Struthio camelus: one gene and its partners. The protein of the gene in region 2 interacts with the protein of the main gene of each other region in a pairwise test. Links are inferred from orthologs where the notes say so. Each region holds a gene or a part of one and is shown on either strand. Other genes may lie near its edges. The genes, in order: TMCC2, HSPD1 and SAMD3.

Evidence for each region.
Region 1: the proteins of HSPD1 (region 2) and TMCC2 interact in a two-hybrid assay, tested with the Homo sapiens proteins (2 studies listed by BioGRID). The two-hybrid records come from large-scale screens. The link is inferred for Struthio camelus from reciprocal best matches to the Homo sapiens genes HSPD1 and TMCC2.
Region 3: the proteins of HSPD1 (region 2) and SAMD3 interact in binary tests that used the Homo sapiens proteins (3 or more experiments, as listed by UniProt). The two-hybrid records come from large-scale screens. The link is inferred for Struthio camelus from reciprocal best matches to the Homo sapiens genes HSPD1 and SAMD3.

The regions. Positions count from the first base shown.
Region 1 is NC_090965.1:7,178,746-7,186,368, reverse strand, and holds the start of TMCC2 (transmembrane and coiled-coil domains protein 2), read right to left. Parts: upstream 3,013-7,623; 5' UTR 2,998-3,012; coding exon 2,821-2,997; intron 1-2,820. Other genes in the region: DSTYK (dual serine/threonine and tyrosine protein kinase), read left to right, coding at 5,100-5,337.
Region 2 is NC_090947.1:11,797,124-11,804,175, forward strand, and holds the start of HSPD1 (60 kDa heat shock protein, mitochondrial), read left to right. Parts: upstream 1-4,032; 5' UTR 4,033-4,263; intron 4,264-5,300; 5' UTR 5,301-5,302; coding exon 5,303-5,476; intron 5,477-7,052. Other genes in the region: HSPE1 (10 kDa heat shock protein, mitochondrial), read right to left, coding at 144-233, 1,655-1,819, 3,634-3,636. UniProt on the Homo sapiens protein: Chaperonin implicated in mitochondrial protein import and macromolecular assembly. Together with Hsp10, facilitates the correct folding of imported proteins.
Region 3 is NC_090944.1:70,804,054-70,811,009, reverse strand, and holds the start of SAMD3 (sterile alpha motif domain-containing protein 3), read left to right. Parts: upstream 1-3,904; 5' UTR 3,905-4,040; intron 4,041-4,138; 5' UTR 4,139-4,165; coding exon 4,166-4,244; intron 4,245-4,982; coding exon 4,983-5,172; intron 5,173-6,956.

The DNA of each region.
Region 1 (7,623 bases), on a different chromosome or scaffold from region 2:
CTCTGGACAGGGCCAGGCTGCACCGGCTCTGGGGCTGCGCGTCCTGCGGGGCTTCCCTGAGTGCCTCCTCTGGTCCCAGGAAAAAAGAAGGGCTCTGGATAGTGCCTCCATACTCATTGCTGGTCTTGGCTTTCAGGTTCAAAAGGAGGGAAAGGCAGGAGCCGCAAAGACTGAGATCATGACACCAGAGATGGACATTATGTCAGGCTTCAGCTTGCCACCCTTGTCAGATCAGCCCACTTGGGAGAAAAGAGAGACCGAGGGAAAACAGTCAGATCAGAGATGCGTGGGGAATGATGATCTAAGTGATAAATGCCTTTCTGGTGCAACACCACGGGACAGCCGGGCAGTCTCCAGAAGTAAAAGGCCTGGATGTTTCCTTCTGCAGTGTTTTGTATGGATCCAGCCACTCTGCTGCAGAGCGCAGGAAATCTCTGCCACCCAACATATTTTTAAGCAGAATTGTGTGTCATGCATCTGCTTTACTCCTTGCCAGAACTTTTTTTTTCTTTTTTTTTTTTTCCTAATGGAGCAGTTGCTCATAGAAAAAAAGAGCTGAAATTGGGGCTGGCGAAAGGAAAGCTGCCATGTACTTGCCAGGGAGGACCTGCCCGGGTGAGGGGTTTGGAGACGACACAATGCAGCCTTCTGTTTCCAGGTTGCCAGCTCAAATCTGTCTCAGGCTGGCAGCAAACAAAAGTTTACATCCGATGCTTGTTTGATATCCACTGGGAGGTGAACTGGTGGGCCTTGGTCAGTGGCTCCAAGCCAATCCGACTGGAGCTGTGGACAGCAGAGTGTGCACAGGGGCAAGGGACCAGCTCATTTGCTAGCAGTGAACAGACCTCACCGTAGTGAAGGCAGTCCAGGAAAAGGAGGAGTTTTGGGCAGGAAAACGTTTAAGATTACTGTCCGCTTTCTAAAGACGCCACTAAAAGTGGCACCAGCAGGTGAAGTGACTGAATTGGTGCAGTCGGTCAGTGGCAGGGCCAGGAATCAGGGCCCAGCGCTCACCAGAGCTGTGGGCAGCACTGAGATTGGTTTTTGTGCAGCCTGTCCTGCACAGCAAGTTGGAGGAGTCACTTCATGCAGGCAATTAATTGCTGAGCTACAAATGTGCTTAAAGACATGCTTTGAGAAGCAATTCTGCATTAGGGTATCCTACTTGCATCGATAAAATCAATGGGAATTTGGCCACGGATGGCGCTGTGAGCTTGACCAGGTTACAGACAAGGCTGGGCTCCAGCTCAGAGCTGGACGTGCCACCTAAAGAACCCTTAGGGCTTCCTGGTCATCACCACGATGATATGTTCTTCAAAGCATAGGCCACACTGTGCATCCTGGAGCTCCATTTTCCATCCCTTTTTTGACTCACTGCAGGTGAAAAAGGACTTGGGATGGAGTGGGTGGGATGATGCCAGCTCCCTGCATGACCTTGACCACACCAGTAAGACTTTCTAGGCTAGAAGACAGGCTGAGGGGCTCTGCTGGAAAGCTTCACAATGAGCATTTACCATGCTGGATGCCTGGTTGCATGTGGGTGACTAGGGACGTTTTCTACTTTTGTCCAGCCCTTTTTGAAATCAAAGAGTGGAAGCAACACTTCCGTTGCCTTTGAAAGCGCTACCAAGAGCACACTCTGACCACAGCAGCAATGTGCTGCAGCGCCCGGAAACATCGAAGTTACAAGCAGGAAATTCATCCCTGCACAAAAGCCCCGCTGCGTCCCACGCCGGCCGGCCCCTGTTGAATATCTGAGGATCTGAGCTGCTCTGTATTCAAACCAACAGGAAATTCCTGCCCAAACTTCACCTGGGACCACCCCGTTCTGGCTGTTCGTACCCCTGCCAGTGCCTCCAGCCCACTGAGGACCGGCTCCCTTCCCATAGCTCTGCAGTGCAGTGAAACTCGTTTTCCTCGTTAACCGGACACAGCCCAAAGACACAGAAGGAGCAGGCTTGGGGCCATTTCTACGCTGCCACTTTCAGCTGCAGCAGCAGCACGAATCCTGCCAGACTGACTCGTGTTTCCCAGAGCAGCGCCCACACGCGCAGTGCTGGGGGCGACTCCGATGGATATTTAGTAGGATCCGCTCAGCTCCTCTGCAGAGCAGCAGCTCTGTTAGCCCCCTCTGCCCCTAAAAAGGCCACGAGACCCCTCCTGGACTGCCATGGGATGCAGTCACCTTTCCTGCAGCTCCCTGCTGAGGGCCGCCGGTGTCGTCAGGGTCCCCCTGCCTCTCCCCCCCCCCCCTTTATTATTGCTGCTCTTGGGGGCCTGCAGCCTCAGTGATGCTCAGGCTCGAGCACACTGGTGCAAACCTGCCTTGAGAGCATCCGCATCCTGGAAGCATCCCCGTCCTGGAAGCATCACATTCTTGGGAGCATCCCCAAGCATCCCCATCCTGGGACCATTGCATTCCCAGGAGCATCCTCATCCCCAGGACCACTGCATTTTTGGCAGCATCCTCCTCCCAGGACCATTGCATTTGCAGGAGCATCCCATGCCAGCAGCATCCCCATCCAGGGACCATGGCATTCGTTCCCAGGAACACCTGCATCGTAGGACCATTGCATTCCCAGGAGCATCCCTATCCCGGGAGCATCCCCATCCTGGGAGCATCCCTATCCCAGGAGCATCCCCATCGCGGGAGCATCCCCATCCCGGGAGCATCCCCATCGCGGGAGCATCCCCCATCCCCCAAGGTCACACCTGTAGCAGAGCAGGCACCAGGGTGCGGGCACAGCAGTGCCCCCACGGGGCGCTTGCCCCCCCCCCCGCGGTTCCCCCCGGTACGCCGTGGCGGCCGCCGGGGCTCACCTTGAGGTCGGGGGGCTTGGTGCGCGGCGGCGGGCCGGCCCCCGCCTCCGGCGGCGCCGCCGCCTCGCCGGGCTTGGCCTCCATGGCGGCGGGGCCGGGCGCCTCCGACTCCGCGGCCGCCGCCGCGCCGGGGTCCTCGTCGGGCTGCTGCAGCTCGTCCGAGCGGCACCGCTTCATGCCGGTGCGCCGTGGCTCCCCCGGGCAGGCGGCGGCGGCGGCCGTTAGGGCGGCGGCGGGCGGCGCCGGGGCGGCCGGTGCGGGGGCCGCGGGCTGCGTGCCGCCGCCGCCGCCGCCGCCCTGCCCGCGCCTGCCCCGCCGCGCCCGGGGCGGGCGGCGGCTCCGCGCCGCGCCGGCTCCGCGCCCGCCGGCATCGGCATCGGCATCGCCGCCGCCGCCGCCGCCGCGGCTTGAGCGGCGGCCGCGCTGCCCAATGGCGGCGGGCGGTGGGCGGGGCCGGCGGCGCCCATTGGCCGCGGCGGCGAGGAGCTGTCGCGGCGCGCGGTGCTGCCGCGCCGTCCCCCCTCCCGCCGCCGCCGCCGCCGCCGCCGCCGCTGCCGCTCCCGCCGCTCCGGCCGCTCCCGCCGCTCCGGCGAGCCGCGCCGCTGCGCCAGGCTGCCCGGGGCGGAGGCAGCGCGCTCTCTCTTTTTTTCCTTTTAAAAATACACATCTTTACCGAATATAAACCATACATTTTTATTTTTCCATTTTTTAATTTAATTTTTTAATTCTTCCCCGTCCTCCCCACTGCTCTGCCGGTCGGCGGCCGCCCGCCGCGGTCCGCCCTGCCGTAGCTCTCAGCTGCTCCGCATGAGGGGCGAGGGCTTAACGCGCCGCGTTGTCCTGTTTCCGACAGCAGCCGGAGCGGGTGGCGGCGGCCTTCGCTGGGGGCACCGGGGCTCATCCCGAGCCCCCAGCCCGCCTGCAGCCGGTTGCTGCGCGCCAGGGCGCGGCTGGCTTGGCGCGATGGCCGGGCTTCGGTGGCCGGCGACGACGCTGCTCCCTGGGCTGTGCTCCCACGGCGCTAAATCTGCATCACTAAATTGGCCTCTCACGTAAGCAAAAAAAAAAAAAAAAAAAAAAAGTTTGGGGACAAAGAGAGACTTAAACTCTAATATTTTGCCTTCCCAGAGCCACCCTCCCAGAACCCTGCTAGCGTTATCTAAAGAGCATGAACTAACCGGCCTTTCCCAGCTGCTCCAATGAGATAATGCTTATAATTGCTTCACGGGTGGGTAAATGACAGCCCAGTGCAATTTTTTTCTGCAGGTCTCACCCTAGTTCCCGAAACCTCCCAGCATCATTTCATTTTACACTGAGCTGGACTCTCGGTCCGTGAACCGGCAGCTCATGTTGCCTCTGCTTAGGATCTGCCAGGATTAAGGTCTGGGCCTGCTGCTTCTGGACTGAATCGTAACAATAAAGCACTTAGCATGGCACAAAGCGCCACCCAAGCCTTCCAAGGCAGCGCAAGTGACCTTAAATGGTACCTCAGTCCCATGCCAACCCTGAGCAAAGGGCAAAGGCGAATTTCAGCCCCTAGGAATTCTCGTCTAGAGGTACGATTTATGTCTTGGAAAAAATAGCGCTTTGTTTTCATAAGAAATCCTAGCAACTGGGAATATATTTTAAAAATAAATGCCTGGGAAAGTGTTTGCTTGAAGGACAACAACAAAAAAGTGTTTATCGGGGATATTTTCCATCTGCTGGAAAAGGGGATGCTTGGGGACTGCGCCAGGCGGCTCGGAGGGACGGGGCAGCGCTGCCTGCTCGCGGGGCGCCGGCGGCGGGGAGGAGGAGGAGGAGGAGGAGGAGGAGGAGCAGGATGCGGCGGGGTGAGGCAGGCCTTGGCCGGCTGCAGGGGTTCGCCACCCCCCCCCGTACCCCCCCCCATCGGACTACAACTCCCAGCGGCCCCCGCGGCGCCCACCGGACTACAACTCCCAGCGGCCCCCGCGCGGCGGAACTACACCTCCCGGGATGCGGCGCCCGCGGGGTCCGCCCCGGTCTCCTCCCCCTTTGCCCCGCGGCGCCCGGATAAAGGTTCCGCTCCGCACGCAGCGTGGCTTGCTGCGGCGCCGTCCGTGAGGAGGAAGGCGGCGGCGGCGGCGGCGGGGGTAGGGGAGGCGGGAGGGGTGGGGGGGGGAGGAAAACGAGGAAAGGCCCGGCCGCTGGGGGCGCGCCGCTCCCTCCGGGAAGGCGGAGAGGCCGGAGACGGCAGCCTGGCAGGGGCCGAGCGTCCCCCGGGCTGGGGAGGGGATAGCGGAACGGACCCGGAGGACATGGAGGGCGACGGAGCCCCTTCGTGGCGGGGTCCCGGCGGCGGCCTGGTCCGCGAGCTCTGCCGCTCCTTCGGCCATTACAACCGGCACCTGGCGCGGCTGCAGCACAACCTGCGCGAGACCAAGAAGTTCTTCCGCGACGTCAAGTACTCCCAGGGCCACCCCTTGGCCGCGGCCGGCGAGGGCCCCCCCGCCGCGGCTGGGGACGGGGCCCCCCGCGACGGCCCCGCGCCGAGCGGTGAGAGAGGGCCGGGGGGGCCGCAGGGGGGCATGCCCGTTTGGGGGGGGGGCTGGGGGGACGGAGGGATAAGGGGTGCAGGTGGGCTCCGGAGGGGCTGTGCGGGGCAGGTGGGGTGGGCTCTGTGGCGAAAGGGGTGTAGGCGAGGTGGGCTGGGCTGTGGGGGGGCGTTTAGAGAGGCAAGAGGGGTACGGGGATTGGGGGGGTGGGCTGGACTGGAGGGGTGAGGGGTGCAAGTTGGGGGGCTGTAAGGGTGGGTAATGGGGTGCAGGCAGGGTTGTTTGGCGTGAGGGCTGGGGGGGCGAGCAGTGCAGGGGAGAGGGCTATGGGGTGCAGACTGTGGGGAGTGAGGGTTGTGGTTGGGGGGGTTACAGATATATGGGGACCTATAGGTTGTGATATGTGGGGGTGAGGGTGCGCAGGTGGGCTGTGGGGTGAGTTATGGGTGGCACAGGGTGTAGCTGGTGATGGGGAGGGGGGAGAGCACAGCTGAGGGGTGTGGGGTGTGCTGCGGGGGCAAGGGGTCCCAGTGAGGCAGGCTGGGAAGGACTGGGGGTGGGGGCGCCTGGGGAGGCTTGGGAGGCCCGAGAGGGGTTGTGGGGTGAAGTGAGCAGGTCAGGGTGTGGGTGAGGGTGCTGGGGTGGGGGTGTCTGGGAGAGGGGCAGAGCAGCTGGTGGGGGGGCTAGGAACTGCGGGGAGGTGGGTGGCTCGCTGGGCGGCGTGTGGTGTGCCGCGCAGCGTGTCTGTTGTGAAGCTTTGTGGAAGTAGTATTTTGCTTCGTTCTTCTGCTTTATCTTCATCTGTCACAGTTGACAAACATTGCTCCTGCTAGGAGCCTTCCTGCCACGTGCAAAACTTCATCTTCCATAAGACTGTCTTGTGAGAAGAGTTTAGTGTGACGTTATATATATAAAGGTCTTTATTCATTTTCAAATGGCTCGTGAGTCATCTCTATTGGCTACTTGTCCAGGATACTTGTCCATGCTTGTCTTATGCTCACAATTATGACTTGAAAATTAAAGTGTTGTTGAGCTTTCTTTTTGACAAGAAGTGTTCCATGTAAACTTTCAGAATAGAAGTGGAAAGCTTTGTAGAAATCTCGTCTCTGAGTCTGCTTGTTTACGTCTATCTGCGATTTCCAGGAAGTAGGAACTAGTTGATTTTGCTCTTTTTCTGTCAGTTGCCCTGCTGATTGAGTGGCAGTGCTCCACTGGAATCACTGCTATAAGAAGAACCTAAATGGAAGAAAATGTTTCTAGTCGACTCTCAGTTGCATCCTTGAAAGTCTACTTGCAGGGCTCTGTAGGCTGTGGATGCATCATTAATTAAATGTTTCTGACCTAGGGTAAAGATTGCACCAGATATTCTGCCTGTTGTTTCTGATATGGTGCAGTTCATTCCTACTAGTTTTCAAATGTCTAAATTGTGCTGGCTTGGCTTTACTGCTGACTGTCACCAGTTGGCCTTTAAGTATCCAGGGCTTGAAAGAAAGACTATCTGGTTTAGAGCTTGTTCATGCAAACAATAAATACAATGTAGGCTCTTGCTTCAGGATTTCAAACTTGAGAGACTTTATAACACTTGCTGTTATTAAGATAAGAATAAAACATAAGTCAGCAGTTCTCAAACTGGTGAGGTGGCAACATGGTCTGGGTGGGACCCAGACCAAGCTAACAAGTCTCCACACTAGAAAGTGAGAAGTCAGTGGTTGCAGTCTTACGGGGAGTATGGAAAGAGCAGAAGAACTGGAGTTGATAAAGTATGAATGTAGCTAGTTTTCTTAAATAAATCTTGATGATAGACTAATTGCAATCACCTTTGAGCAGAGTTTCTTGTTTCTATGAAATTTTAGTTATGTTTTCTAGGACTGTTTGAAATTTAGTTGCTACTTTCTCTGGTCTGATGTGGGGAGGCTATTTCAAAGGTGTCAAAAGGTTTAAGGAGCACAGTTATCTGTGACTTCAGAAGCACTTTTTCCTTAAATCTGCCCTGCAAGTGGTTTTATAGTGAGAAGGATTTTGACTAAGCAGTTCTTGAGACTTGTGCTGCTCTGCAGTGTGGTGAGGCTTGAATACTGACTCTTGTTTTGTGAAACGCATAGGAATTGGGAAGTAGATTGGACAGGTCTCTTATTGCTTACAGCTTAAGTGGAAAAATAAACTGTGAAAAGTAAACATAAAGGTCTCAAACAAAACAAATGAGAACTGGTTTGTTTTCGAGACACCTGTGAGGCCCATGTGATGGTAAAGAAAGGTAACTGCCCTTAGAATCAACAGAAATCAAGCA
Region 2 (7,052 bases):
TGATTCAGCTGCTCCCACTTGAATACCAACAGTTGCATTTTTTGAATGCTGCGAACCCCATGAAAAAATTGCAGTGTTTATCACTGACAGTGCCACCTTTTGGGAACCAGCTTAGTTTCCATTCACAAAGTCAGGAAACCTACCTTATCATCTAGTACAATCTTAGTACCACCGTATTCTGGCAGCAAGACCTTTTCACCAACTTTTACACTTACTGGCTGAATCTCACCATTCTGAAAGAAAAGAAGAAAAACTTTTTTTTTTTAAAAAACAGGTAAACAGGTTGATTTAATGGCAAGAATTCCTTCAAACCATAGTGATCCTCCCCCACATAAAACACTCAAGCAATCACAGTAACTACATTTTAGTTACGCAGTGAAAACTAGAATGCGCAAGTTACCTAGGAATAAAAGCACCCCAGTCAATTCTCAAGCATCAGAACCCTGCAATATTTCAACAGCAGAACTGCAGTGGATTTTCCTGAATGCAAAGTACTTCCGTTAGTTTGAGTGTAAACGCAAACTGAACTCTTCACTTGGCATTTTGAGGATGACTTCGCTTTAAGAAGTCTGAAAAGTTAAGTGACAGACCATGAAATCCCCCTCTAAAGCAATCAGGAAAGTCCATTTCCCTATTCTGTGACCAAGGCTAATTTCTTGAAGTGACAGTTAAGAGCGCCTTCTCATCTTTGTTACTTTGATTAACTTGTCAGTATTGCTGGCAGATCTATTAAACTCTACCACAGATTTCCAAGCATAAGTCTATACTTATGTTTTCGTATTATAAATTATTAGCTAGTTAGTCAATTATTAGCACCATTTCACAATATAAAGCTTTGAGATATCATGCTTTTTGTCTCAGTATCTATGGAAGGACTCAAGGTAAAGAAAGAGTCTGAGTCAACATGCACAAGTTAAATTTTAAACACATTTCGCACTATTACTACTAAATGGATACTTTCTTTGGTGGGGAAAAAAACTTGAAACGTTGAAGCCCACAGGCCGATTAAGACTATGAAACGAAGTCAAGACTGTCACTATCCTTTTTATGATCCTAGACCTGTTTTTTTAACACGTAAAATTCAAGAAAACTGACCTAACAGTTATTTTTGATTCCCAATTTTCTTTTTGTCCAGTAAGCCTAACTGATGCTTACGGGCAACGATATTTTGCACCGCGTTAAGACACAGAATACCACATTCTGGGATTCCACCCTGCTCACAAATTACAGGAATTCAGGCATGCGATCAGCAGCAGTTGAAGAAATAAAGCTGCCAATCCCATACGTTTCACCTGAAAGGTGATCAGACAAGGCATCCCAGAAAATCATAGTTTAAGTATTCAAAACTGAAAAAGCCTCCCACTGTTTAATGCTGCTTGTAAATATCAATAAATAACATTCATTTTTGAAAAGCCATTATTTCCCATTTTAGAAGCAAGAGGAAGGCTGGAATTCAAGGTCAGAGCCAATGAGGAAAGGGTGGACACTTGAGTGAAGTTTGAAGTGCAGACTCAAGAGAGGCGGTAGGAATCTCATCATCCTCATTTGTTGTCATGAAGTGTAACCAAATTTATACAGCAACCGATCCCTTTATGTTAAGCTTCCAGCTACCACCACACCATTACCAACTCTACCCAAAGTTGGATCCATTTACCTTTCCTTTGGCTCCCGATCCAACTGCCACTACTGTTGCTTGTAGCACTTTCCCTTGAGCTTTTTCTGGAATCATGATGCCTCCTTTGGTTACAGTCTCAGCTGCACATCGTTCAACCAGAACACGATCAAAGAGGGGAAGAAATTTCCTAAATGCCTTTCCTGCCTGTGAAAGGAATTGTATATTGTAACAGGAAGATCACTACAAAAAAAAAATGGCAATAAAAAAGTTCAAACCCTCACAGTGGTTTATCTTCCAAGAGAAGTCAAGAATTTAAGAAAGATGCTGGGTAGTTGTTCTTAATAGTGGCAAGTATATGCAACCTTTAATGGCAGCAAAAAAAAAAAAGTTAAAGAAACAAGCAAAGTTGAACCGCAGGTGTTCTGTATCTCAAGCCTAGAAACAATTCTCTCTTGAGCAGAATTAACAGGCACACCCTGGGCAGTCCTAAGATTTCAGCCATACAAAGATGTACTCCAGCTAACATCATAAATCACCACCAGATGGAGCTGCCTTCTCATTTGGCTGGAAAATTCCATCAGCTTTTAAGCTGCTCGATTCTAAACCGTTAGTGCTCCTGTAATTTAGTTAGCATCACTATTGATGAGTATATGAAATGTATTTATTGAGTCACAACCAGATTTAATGAAGGACCTCTCGGGCTAGTTTTCTGGGGGCATTTTTATCGGCTGTACTGGAACGTTTAATAGTAAAAAAGCAAAATCTAGCATGTACTGTGTGTATTTTTCAGGTATTTTCAAAGCTTAGCATTTCATATAACAATTTACAGCTTCTAAAGTTTGAAGTCTGAAGTGAGAGTGTAGTTTTTTTCTACTGAGTTCTACAAATAGACTACAACTTTGCAAAAAAGTGAAGGTTTTTGTAAACCCCCAAGAATAAGCAGCTAGGCACATTTGTGTGTTGGCTGCTTTTCCTTCATGTAGGAAACTAGTCAACAGCTACCTCTGCTTAAGAGTTAACTTTTTTGCTACTACCTACTGCTGCTACTGGCTGCATTTCAGCAACAGTAGCTGCATTCTCACAGACTAAATGCAAGTGCAGAGTCAGGGATAAGGAACATGCTTTGATGAAGAGCAAAGGTCTGGAGACTTGCCAAGTCACGTGGAGATAGCGCTCCACTAGACAGGTATCCAGAGCCCACTCAGAGAAGGTTCTAGCATCCAAGGTCCCTTCCCCGAGACCCATCGTTATACACTCTCATGCTTTAAAAAAAATCAGGAATGCCTCAAAAGTTACAGGCAGGACAAACACAAAGCCCAGTAAACAAAAGATGCTGTCCCCATTTCCCCCCTCCCCCCAAAAAAACTTGCTACTACTACAACGTGGAAGAAAAAAAAACCCGCACAAATGGAAAAGGCTGCCAGTTATGAAAACAACAGCTCTGAGCTTCATTTATTTTTCAAGTGACCTGTGCTTAAGGGAAATAAGCAATTAGACTTATGAACACGGATATTTTACACCGAATTAGAAAATGCGAACACAGGAAAAAAATTCCAGCTCCACGGTAAGGGCGCCCCTGCCCCTGCCCCGCTGCTCTTCGCGGCGAGCTCCACCCGCACAAGCTCGCCAAGCACAGGCGCTGAACCCCCAAGCGCCTTTCTGGCTTCTGTGCCACCAGGCTCGGGGGCCAGGCCGCCGCGCCGCACCCCGCCCGCCCGCCCGCCCGCGGGGCTCCCGAGCGGCCCGTCTCGCCCCAAGGGCGCGCTGCCCTTGCCGCGCTCCCAACGGGCTCCCAAAACGGCCCCGCGCCCGCCGAGCCGAGCCGCCGCGCCGCGCACCCCCCCCGCCGCCGCCGCCGCCGCCGGCCCGGGGAGGCGCCCGCAGCAGTGGCGGGCGCTGCAGGGCCCCCGGGCGGCGCAGAGCCGCGGCCCCCCGCCCGCTGCTAGGCAGCGGCGGCAGCAGCACAGGCCCCTCGCAGCCCCCGCGGCGGGCGGGCGGCCGGGCGGGCACTCACTCACCATGGCGGCCGCCGCGCTCCCCGCCACCGAGTGACCCGGGCCTGCGCCGCGCACACGTGAAAAAGGTCACCACCTGCGCATGCGCGCGGCAACCCTCCCCCCCACCCCGCGCGGCCCGCCCCGAGGCGGAGCCCTTCCGCCCCCCCGAGCCGCGATTCCGCCGTTTATTTTTCCCCGCCGGGCCCGCGGCCCCCGCGCAGGGCGGCCGCCGCTGCAACGGCACCGCGCCCCGCGCCGCACGGGGCCCGCCGGGCCCCGGGGCCCCGCGCCGGCCCGGAAGTGAGGTCACGTCACCTTTGACCCGCGGCGAGCATGAGCGTTCCAGAAGGTTCTGGAACTGGCGGGCCCCGGAACCTGAGTGGCTCATGCCGGGCCGCCAGGGCGCATGCGCGGAGGGCGGGCGGCGCCGCAGCGCTGCGGCCGTGCGCCCGCGCCAGGGGCGGGGCCGCGGCGGCTATGCTGGTTCCCGGGCTGGGCCGCGCGGAGCCCCACATGGGTGGCTGCCTGGCCGGGGGAGGGGCCGAGCTAGTGAGTGCTGAGCGCCTTCCCGGGCTCGCGCGCAGATCTGCCCGCTCCGCTTCGAGTCCGGACGGCGGAGCCGCCTGCCGCTCTCCCCCGCCTTGCACAGAGGTGAGCGTGTGGGGCTGCCCCTGCTCGGGGCCCGGCCGGGCTCGGCCTGGCGCGGAGCGGCCTTGCCCGGGGACGGGGGGGATGCCAGTGGGTCGGGTGCGCAGCCCCCTCGCCCCTTGCCCTCTGCCTTTTGGGCGTTGCGGCGGTTGCGGCCGTTAGGGGCGCGCGCCGCCTGCAACGGCTCTCGCGATTCGAACGCGGGGCGCTGCGGCCGCCTTCAGAGCGGCGCGCGCTGCGGACGGGGGCCGCGCGCCTGCGCCCAGCGCGTGCGCGCGCCCAGCCCGGGGCCCTGCGGCGGCTCGTGCGCTTCCCCCCGCGGCGGCGGGGGGGGGGGGCGGGGGGAGGGGCGCTCCGCGCCCGTGCTCGTGCTCGGCCGGGGGTCGCGGCGGACCAGGCGGCCCCGCGGCGCTGCAGCGCGGCCCGCCCGGCGGCAGGGGGCGAGCGGCTGTTGACCTTGCTGCGCGTGTCCTGATGGAAGGAGACACGTGGCCGGCGGCCCTCTCCTGCCCGCCGCGGCCGCGCCCGGCTGCTTCTCCTCCTCTCGCCCCGGAGCAAGGGCTGCCCGTGGGAGGCAGGGTCGGGCGCTGGGGCCTCGCCGGGCCGCGCCGTCAGGGCGCTACCCTGAAGCGCCCCGCTCGCCCGGGTGCGCGCGGCCGCCCCCGTTTGCCGGTGAAGTGGTGCTGCCTGAGGGGATGGATCCGTCTGGCAAACGGAACGGCTTGTGTGCTACAGCGCCCTGGCCATCTCCCGCCCGACAGCCGGGAGAAGCGAGGCGGGAGGAGCTCAGAGGTGCTGGAGGCTGCTCCATGAGGAGCTGCTGGAGCTGAGGTCTCCTCTTGAGGAGCTGGGCGCCCGAGCTCTCTTACCCTCAGGTAATTGTATGTCTGCGTTCGAAACAATCGGAAAATGAAAGGTCATGGTCACTTGCTTTACTACCTCAATTTTGGGAGGTTTTTTTTTCCCCTTTTTATTCTAAAAGTCGCCGTGCAAAGGACACGGTATTCATATCTTTCTGTGGTGGTGTTTTAATCTTTTAGACATGCTTCGTTTATCTACACTACTCCGTCGGACAAGGCCAGTGTCCAGAGCACTGGCCCCCCATCTAACGCGAGCATATGCAAAAGATGTTAAGTTTGGAGCAGATGCCCGAGCTCTTATGCTTCAAGGAGTAGATCTTCTAGCAGATGCTGTAGCTGTCACCATGGGGCCAAAGGTAATGGAAGGTTTTGCATTTGTACTATGTTAACGCTTTGATGTGGACGAAAATATAACAGTGGAAAACAGTTGTCACTTTTCCTAGATAGAGTTGCATGTTTTCCATCTCCATATCTGCAAGACAAGGATAGGAGAAGGAGTGTGGACAGACCACTGCAAGCAGCCATATTCTCATCTTGTCAGCTGAGCCATGATAATAGTGGACGTGTCCTTCATAGTCGTGAAGGAAAGTACGTTTGACTCCTATGAAAAGTGCAGCATAGTTGCTTAAACAGTATAAAGCAAAACAGAATAAGAGCGCGTGCGCAGTTGATTACTATAGCTGAGTTGGTAGCCTATGACAGTACCCTTGATAATTTGACTGCTTATAATTTTCTTTGCATCCTGAGGTAGTTTAGCTAATATGTGATTTTTTTTTCTTTTGAAAGAAATTATTTTCTGTTATCGTCGCATCGTGTAGTAGTATTAACAAGGTGAGAGAAACATTAAAAGCATAACAGCAAGTTTTTCATTGCAGGTAAATGTTACCAGTTTTTAAAAGGTATTGAAACATCCATGTCAGTGGCATTAATTTGTACCATGTATAGAAAAGATTTGTAGTGTATGATCCCCCTTTCAAGTTCAGGTTTTTGGAAAAGTAGCTGCTGTGTTCTGCATAGTCATACAACATGCCGTAGGTCTTGAAATGAAACTGCTCTGAAAGGAGGAGATGCAGATTTTCTTCAGGCTCTCAGGAATATCTGTTTCAAGTTAGCTCTCAGTAAGGATTTCTTAGGGATTTCTGACTTGTCATGAGGTAGCATTGATCAGGTGTTAGTGGTGTATGTGGAACAATGGTGAAAGTGGTTGCAAACTGCAGTTCTTCAGTTACTTCGCCTTACTGAGTAGCTACAGTGAATTATTTTAGCTCCCTGGTAGGAGTAAATTATATAGTTACAGTTTTGCCTCACTTTTAAAGTGAACACGTTCTGTCATTCACTGCTTGTGAATGTTTTTAATACAGGCAGTTTGCTTGTTTTTTAGTTTTTACTAAAGTTACTTAGTTTTTTTTTTTTTACTTAGTTGTTAAGTACAACTTTCACGTGGAAAGACCTTTTTATTGTTATTATTATACACAGTAGTTAATAAAATCCACGTTCAAAGTAGATAGGTCAAAGCATATCCTAACAGTATATGCATGGTAGTTCTTCTCAAGGCTGCTTGGCCCCTGTGAGATTACTTAACTTTTTACTTACACATTTCTGCACCTTTTTTTAGCTTTATTCAAAGGCAAAAATGCAATGAACTGAGCAGGTGAAGATAAAGGAACAGTGAACTCAGCAAGCTGTGGCTGTTTTCCCTAGGTACAGTTCTCCTAAAAGGAACACGTTTTCAGTGGCTCAGTTGATGAAACTGTTGTTTTGCATCAGCTGACGTTACAACTGTTTAAGGGTGGTTTTAATGCACTGGTTAAAGGACAGTTTCTGATGCAACCTATTGTAACCTTGTGGGTTTTTATATTCCAGTGCTTTCACTTTGATTTATGTGTTATTCTCCATATGTTCATAGAGCAGTTAGGGTTTATACTGTTAATG
Region 3 (6,956 bases), on a different chromosome or scaffold from region 2:
CTAGAAGTTGTATTCTTAGAAAATAAGATAATTTTCTCTTGTAACTAACAGTTATTAGTATTATTGCATTATTGCATGGTTTGTGTACTGTTATCAGTGATAGCAAGGACAGAGTCTGGTCTGCATGAATATTACGTTGCCTTAAAATACAGTCAAATTAAGTTTCTTTTCTTGCTTTCAAATTACCAAATAGTCTGTACAGTTGTAACAGAACTTGGTATTCGGGTGGAAGCTTGTCTCAGCTTTCTTTGTGACAGCTTTCTTTCCAGTAGCGCTTTAAATTTTACAGATGAAAATGTTTTTAAAGAAGCTTGCAGGGTAAAAACATGGATAATAGAAACTCCATATGTAATCAGAAGCAAATGTTTTAGGGAAAGAGTAGATTTAGGTATAGTAATCTTCAGAGTTAATCCTGCAGCAATGGAATTTGTCTGCTTGATAAGCTCAGCAGACTGATACATTGAGGAGTGTTGATATTCCCCTGAACTTTGATCAAGATTTAGAAAGGGCAGTCTGGTTTGTCCTTCTTGAAACAACTTCTTTTAATGTGGGACTTGTTCCCCTTTATTTATTTCTGACTATTGTGAGTGCATGTTTTCTTCTTTGATCTTCCTATGTAGCCTTACTGTTGCTTTGTGTGATTATAGGTATGCAGCTGCCTTGGTCTTACGCTACAGTAGCATGGAAATGAGAACTGAAACATGCACTTTGAGACTTACTCCTGCATTGATATTGGAATTTTCTTTCCCTTCCCTCATGTTGCTTCATTTGGCAGTATCTGTGAGCATTCAGGGGAATGCTTTGTGCTAGCCTGTGCCTGATAAACATCAGCAATCAGAGTCGGTGTTTTCTTTTCTGGGGGAAGGGGGGAGAGGATTTCTCTTCTGAGTATTTCCCTATGCATTATTGAAAAGGTTGCTGGATAGCTGATGTCCTTTTCATGGTAACTCAGCGCTATATTCAGAGTGACCCAGTTCTACCTTCTGTAAAGTAGCTTGAGTATATTTTTTAATTACTTAAAAAATAGGTAGCAAGCGGAAAGAAAATACTGAAGTCCCTGTAATGCCTACAAAGATTAAAAAGAAATTATAATAGCATTAAAAGCATACACAGAGGATACTTTAGTTATGTCTTTGTTATGCCCTAATTCCTGCTTATCACCCTTGCGCTTTGAGACCTGGCCACGTAGCTGTGGCATATGGATGTGCACACATCACATTCCTCACCTTGGTACTGGACCACACTAAACCTTAATTCTAACCTCAGTGACATCAGCACAGAGGTTAATGTATCTGTATGCTGTGATGCCATAGGCTTTTTCTCATGAGTGAGTGTGTGAAGTAAATATAATAACTCGCTTTCCTTGTATAAAGTGTTTGGACATATAGCTTCCTTCATTTAGAAGAAGTGTCATTTCATATTGATGACAGCTCATTATATCTTCTACTAAAACAAGCTGTATGGGAAATTAGTGCACCCACATGACGGAACTATGCTGGCTGGGAATCTCATCTCTGTATACTGTTTAGCCAACTGCATCAGCAGAAATCTGTAGTGTAGATGGGTCTTTAGCTTGATCTGATTAAAAAACCAAGCTTTTAATCCTTCAGCCTTGAAGGATTTTGCACTAAAAGCAAGGGTTGTCCTGACTCCTCCTAGGCACACCGATGAAATATTGGTAAACTCCTAATATTAGTCCTAATAATAGGTGTCTGAAGAAATGGGTCCCAGTGCTTTGTTGTTTTTATTAGCAGGCAGGGATTGCTCACACTTAGAACTATTCTGAATTTGACTTGAAATCATGCTGTAAATGGCTAAAATATTGTCTGTTTTTAAAAGGTTGCCTTTACGTTTTTTGTTGTTGTTCTGCCTTTTAAGAGTTGATTGAAGAATGAAGAATATAAATATTCTTGTGCTTGCACCGTGCCAAGCACAGTGACCACCCTGGGTAGTCTTTTGATACTACTGTAATAAATAGGATTAATAATAAAGACCAACATCAGTATTCATTCTCAGTCTTTCTAGTTGTCTCAGGAGTGCTAGTACAAGACTGGTGGGCTCTTTCCCCAGCTCCTTTACTCAGAGTATTTGCATGTAAGTGAAATCACTTTTGAGAAGTGTTTTGAAGTATTTGTGTGTAGTGACCTTATTATATATCATCTGGTTTTCTGCAGCAGCCTCCAAACTGCCATCACTTCCCTCCCCCTGAAGTGCACAGCCTGCATTTCCATGTGCAAATGGACATTTTGCTGCAGAGTTAGCGACACACTGATGAAATGTATATGCATATTGTTTTGTGTGACTATAGTTTGCTTGACAGTATTTGAAAAGTTGATATCTACTCGTCTGCTATAGCATGACCTAGTCTAGGTTGCAAGTCTTCTTGCAGGATGAAGCAGTGACCTTTCTGCCATCTTAATGTATCTCTCATTACTTTTACACTACTTGGTTGATAAGGCAAGTATCTTTCTGCTTTGCATTCTGTTTTATCTTTCGAGTTTTTTGAGCATCTCTTTGTCCCACTCTTTGCAAGGAAGTAAGAAGTGTGACGAGAAGGTGTGATTTTTAATTTACACCAGAGTTCTCAGCAAATAATGATTTTTCACACCCTGTTATTGCTGCTTAGCCTGGGGAAGGAGTTGTATGGCTACTGTTGTCATATCAAATTAAATCCACTCATGTAATTCAGAAAGACATGCCTCTTCCTTTAACCCGTTATGTTGCTGAAGTGTATTGGCACAAGAGCACAATCTGAAGTGCATCTATTTTGCTGGTCTGTGTTATTGAAGGGTGAAAAGCAGAAATGGTTTTGTATGCAGATAGTGCACTTTTTTTTTGTATTGTATTGTAGTGGATCAGCTCCTGATGAGCTTTATGTAGGTGAATTCTCATGCTCACTTGGAGTTCACTGCCGCCTCGGGGTATGTACGTGGATGTATCTTGAACAAGGAAATGCTTGGCCAACAACGCCAGACAGTCGTGCTCTCATCTGAAAAACTTCCTTGAATCATTTTCAAGGATGGAGTATAGGAGTATAGGAGTACTTGATGATCCTTTAGCTCATTTACGTAATAGAGCTGAATCACATTACTATGAAAATCACTTATGGGAAGAGTTTTCTGCTACAAAGGAGCTTGTAGACTAGGAAGACCTTTCTCTTTACAAGTAATCCTCTCTTTATGAAGTTGTTACTGATTTTGCTTGTTGGGATATTTTGGTTACTTCTCAACCTGAAAAAAGTTTAGGATTCTGTTAACGGTAAGGGTGAATTTTTATTTCAGTATCAAACTTGTAGCTATTTAGGGCCTACAGTGAAGCAAAATGCCCTGCTTTCTGTATTGCCTGCAGTGTCTACCAAATTTCAAGCAGCATGAGGTGGGGAGGGGCTGAATATGGTGAACTGGATTTAAGCGGACATTCAGTGGTATGTGATTTACTCTCCTCACAGTTCAATTAAGTCCTTCAGGAAGGAGTCTGTGATACCTGGAGCGGAAGGGATTTGGCAGATTGACCGGGAGCCTCTCTCTGAGCTGCATCCCATGAGGCACTGAGTTCCTTCAGCACCAGCACCTAGAGGTGAGGCGCTCAGTGGGGGCCATCTCCGTTCACTCATATCCTTCCATGGTGTCTGGCATGTCCCCTCCCTTTTCCAGAAGCTTTTATTGCCCCTAATTGTAACTGAGGCTTAAGCATTTGCTTGACTAGCTGCTTGGTGGTACAGAGAGGGTTAATATGTGCTTGGTTTACTATAAACCTGTATGTGACAGACTCTTATCAGATCTGTTTTTTTTTCTTTCTGTAAAATGTCAACCATTTCCTGATGAGTGGTGGTGGTGAATTTCACACCTTTTTCCTCTCTGTGTGGAAACCTGGGTGTTAAAGGTACCGGAGCAGGTCGTGTTTTAAAAGGAATGAGGCTGTCTCTTAGAACAGAGGGAAAGCAGGAAAAGGAGAGGCGGTGAAGAAAGAGGGGTCTAAGAAAACTGCTACTTGCAAAAGGCATTAGTTTGATCATTTCCCATTAATTTTATTCAGACCATGTAAGTATAATACTGTTTGCAGGAGCATTTTTTCTACAAGATGTTCAAGTTCAGTTTAGAGCTCAGCATAAAAATAATCCTCTGTCTTCATTTCACAGTGAAATTTATCTTTGCAACGCCTGAAGATGGAAAGTTGGTCGGTTGATCAAGTCTGCAACTGGTTGAGACGGAGAAATTTAGGAGAATTAGTTCCTAAGTTTCGTGGTAAGCGTTTTGTTTATGTGTGTTTTTTAGAACATATTTCTTTCTATGCTTTTAATTGGCATTACTTGTTTTGGGGTATGTATATCTAGGCCAACTTAAGGCTTATATAGAAATTTATTAGGGACATTGCTGACAGACCTGGTAAATCGAAGTAAGTGTGTAGATATATTATCAAGTCTGTGAGAAATGCTGAGGGGAAGATTAAGCCTACATGTAAATAGGCACGCCTTCTAGAAACAGAACTGGCAGTTTAACAGGCTGTGACTGGGCCTATTTTATACTGTATACATCTTTTGAAATAATTCAACTGTAGTATGTAAATGTTTTCTGCCTGCGTATATAAACACTCTGCAAAATAGTGCATAAGAAATTATTATGTGAACATGGTATGCTATGCATTCTCTTAAAAAGCTGACTTTCCTTCATTAACAAAACAGCAATATGCTGTGGTCTAAGCAAAGTCTGATTTAAAGCGTTAAAATTGTCACTCACTGTTGTTTATTTCAGACCTGTCATTTTGTTACTGGAAGGTATCTGGCCAGTGACTAAAACTTCGGGCGCTGGCTTGGAAGGGACAGTAGCTAAAACAAATTATCTTTTTTAATAGTTGAAGAAGAACATCAGCAGTAGAAGGCATCTTTTTACCTTGGACCTGCCCTCCATTGTCATGTTTTAGAATCTTATTATAACTGTAAAGTATCTTACTGTAATTATAATCTTATCCCTTTCCATCTTCAGAAGAAGAAGTAAGTGGAGCAGCTCTTTTGGCTCTTAATGATCGTATGGTGCAGCAGCTGGTAAAGAAGATTGGGCACCAGGCAGTGCTAATGGACCTGATTAATAAATACCAACAACAAAAAAATGGGCTAGAATCCCTTACCTGCTATTGTGAAACAGCTTCTCCAAAATTCCCAGAAGCAATCAGTGGGTGAGTCTGTATATGGTAGAGAAAATATCAGTCTGAGTACATCCATATTCTTTTCTTAGCATTTTAAAATTGATGTTTACTAGCTCTACTGCTGTAGGTTGCAACTGTTTTTACACTTTGAATGATCTCTGACATCATGTTAAATATGGTTCTAACTTTGTGTTTTTTGAACATACCATCAACATTCCTGGACAGTACCAATAATTTAAACTGCCCTTCACTTCCAGTTCTAGGACCTAGTTCTAATTTGCATGAAGCATCATCAAACTTTTCATCACTGCAGCTGAAATGTTCTGCGTTTGCTGTATTAAGGTTTTGAGGCATTTACTTTTAAATGCTGTAACATCAGAAACCTTCGAGTAAAATCATGTGATTTAGCTAGAGATGGTGTTTGTGGCACCAATGTGTTTAATCTCCCAAAGGAAACCTTCTGAATTTGATCAAGATGTAAGCATTTAATAATCACAGCGTGAGCTTTCAACGATAGACTAGATTAGATTTTAGAAAACAAATTCCACAGAGACTGTCCTCATTGAGCAGGCTCCAGCTCTTGGTGAGCAGGGTTTTTTTCTTACTTTTCTCATTCTGATCTATTATAAGCCAGGCTAGATTTTGTTTTGGAAATCTTGGGTGAGAACAGAGGTCCTGGGCTCTCCGTACGTTCTCTTCTAGGCCCAAGAAAGCTAGAAATAGCCTGCAATGGGTGCAAAATGCCATTTTTATATGAAGGCACATTCCCCTCCCAGTTTTGAAGGAAAGGACTATAACATTAACTGTGTGCAGTAATAGTCCAATAGAAGTAGATCTGTAGAGCATTTACTATAGCATTTACTTTCATCCAAAAGGAATCCAATGTGTGTGCTCTGAAATAACTCCACAGCGCAAGCCAAAGGATGGTAAATGGTGGTGGCTGGGTTATTCCCTTCCAAAGCACAGTAATAAGAAGGACTAAAATACCTATATAGACGCATTCTGTCATCCTTGAGTCTCAGAAATGTTTGTGAAAGCCGCTCAGAAAATGATCCTGCACTGCTGGAGGGAAGGAGAGGCCAGGAAGAAGAGGATGTCACTGAATATATGTTTTATCACAGACTTTAATTATGCAATCAATCACAAGCAGTCTTGGTTCTTTGCATAGAGGTCCTGCCTCACTTGATTTACAGGAAGCTTGTTCTTTGAAGGCAGAGCGAAAATCTGCTGTGAAGAAGAGTACTGTTTGTAAGCCCACTACTTCATTCGAAGCACAGCAGGTGCATAGTGGTTGCAGCAGGGGATTTCCAACAAACAGATATGTTCTTATAGTTAAGGCAGTTTGAATGCTGTTTTGAATGTTTGGATTCCATCCTTGACTTTTTCAGGGATGTCTGGCTAGACTGCTTCTCAGATACGATTGCTCCCCATGCCCTCCTCATGTCTTACAACGCAGGCCTTATTGTCTCATAAAAAGCACTCAGTTGCAGTTGTGCGTTCAGGTCACGGCTTTTCTGCAAATTCCAGAAAAAAATCAAATGCCGGAAATCTCAAATATTAATAAATACCATTTACCTTAAAATCTTTCCTTGGCTACTCTTCCTGCCTAAAAAGTAGGTACTAATATTCCTCTATTTAGAGGGAATTTAGGTAAATAAGCTGTTGTTTGTGAAGCATTTTCTGTGGCAGAGTCAAGAACCACATAATAAAACTGTTAAGCATGTTTAAGAAATCCATATGATCATATACTTTAAGATCAAGGTATTGAATAGCTGGTTTCTGCATAGAATGAGGTAAAGCTCCCACTGTAAAGA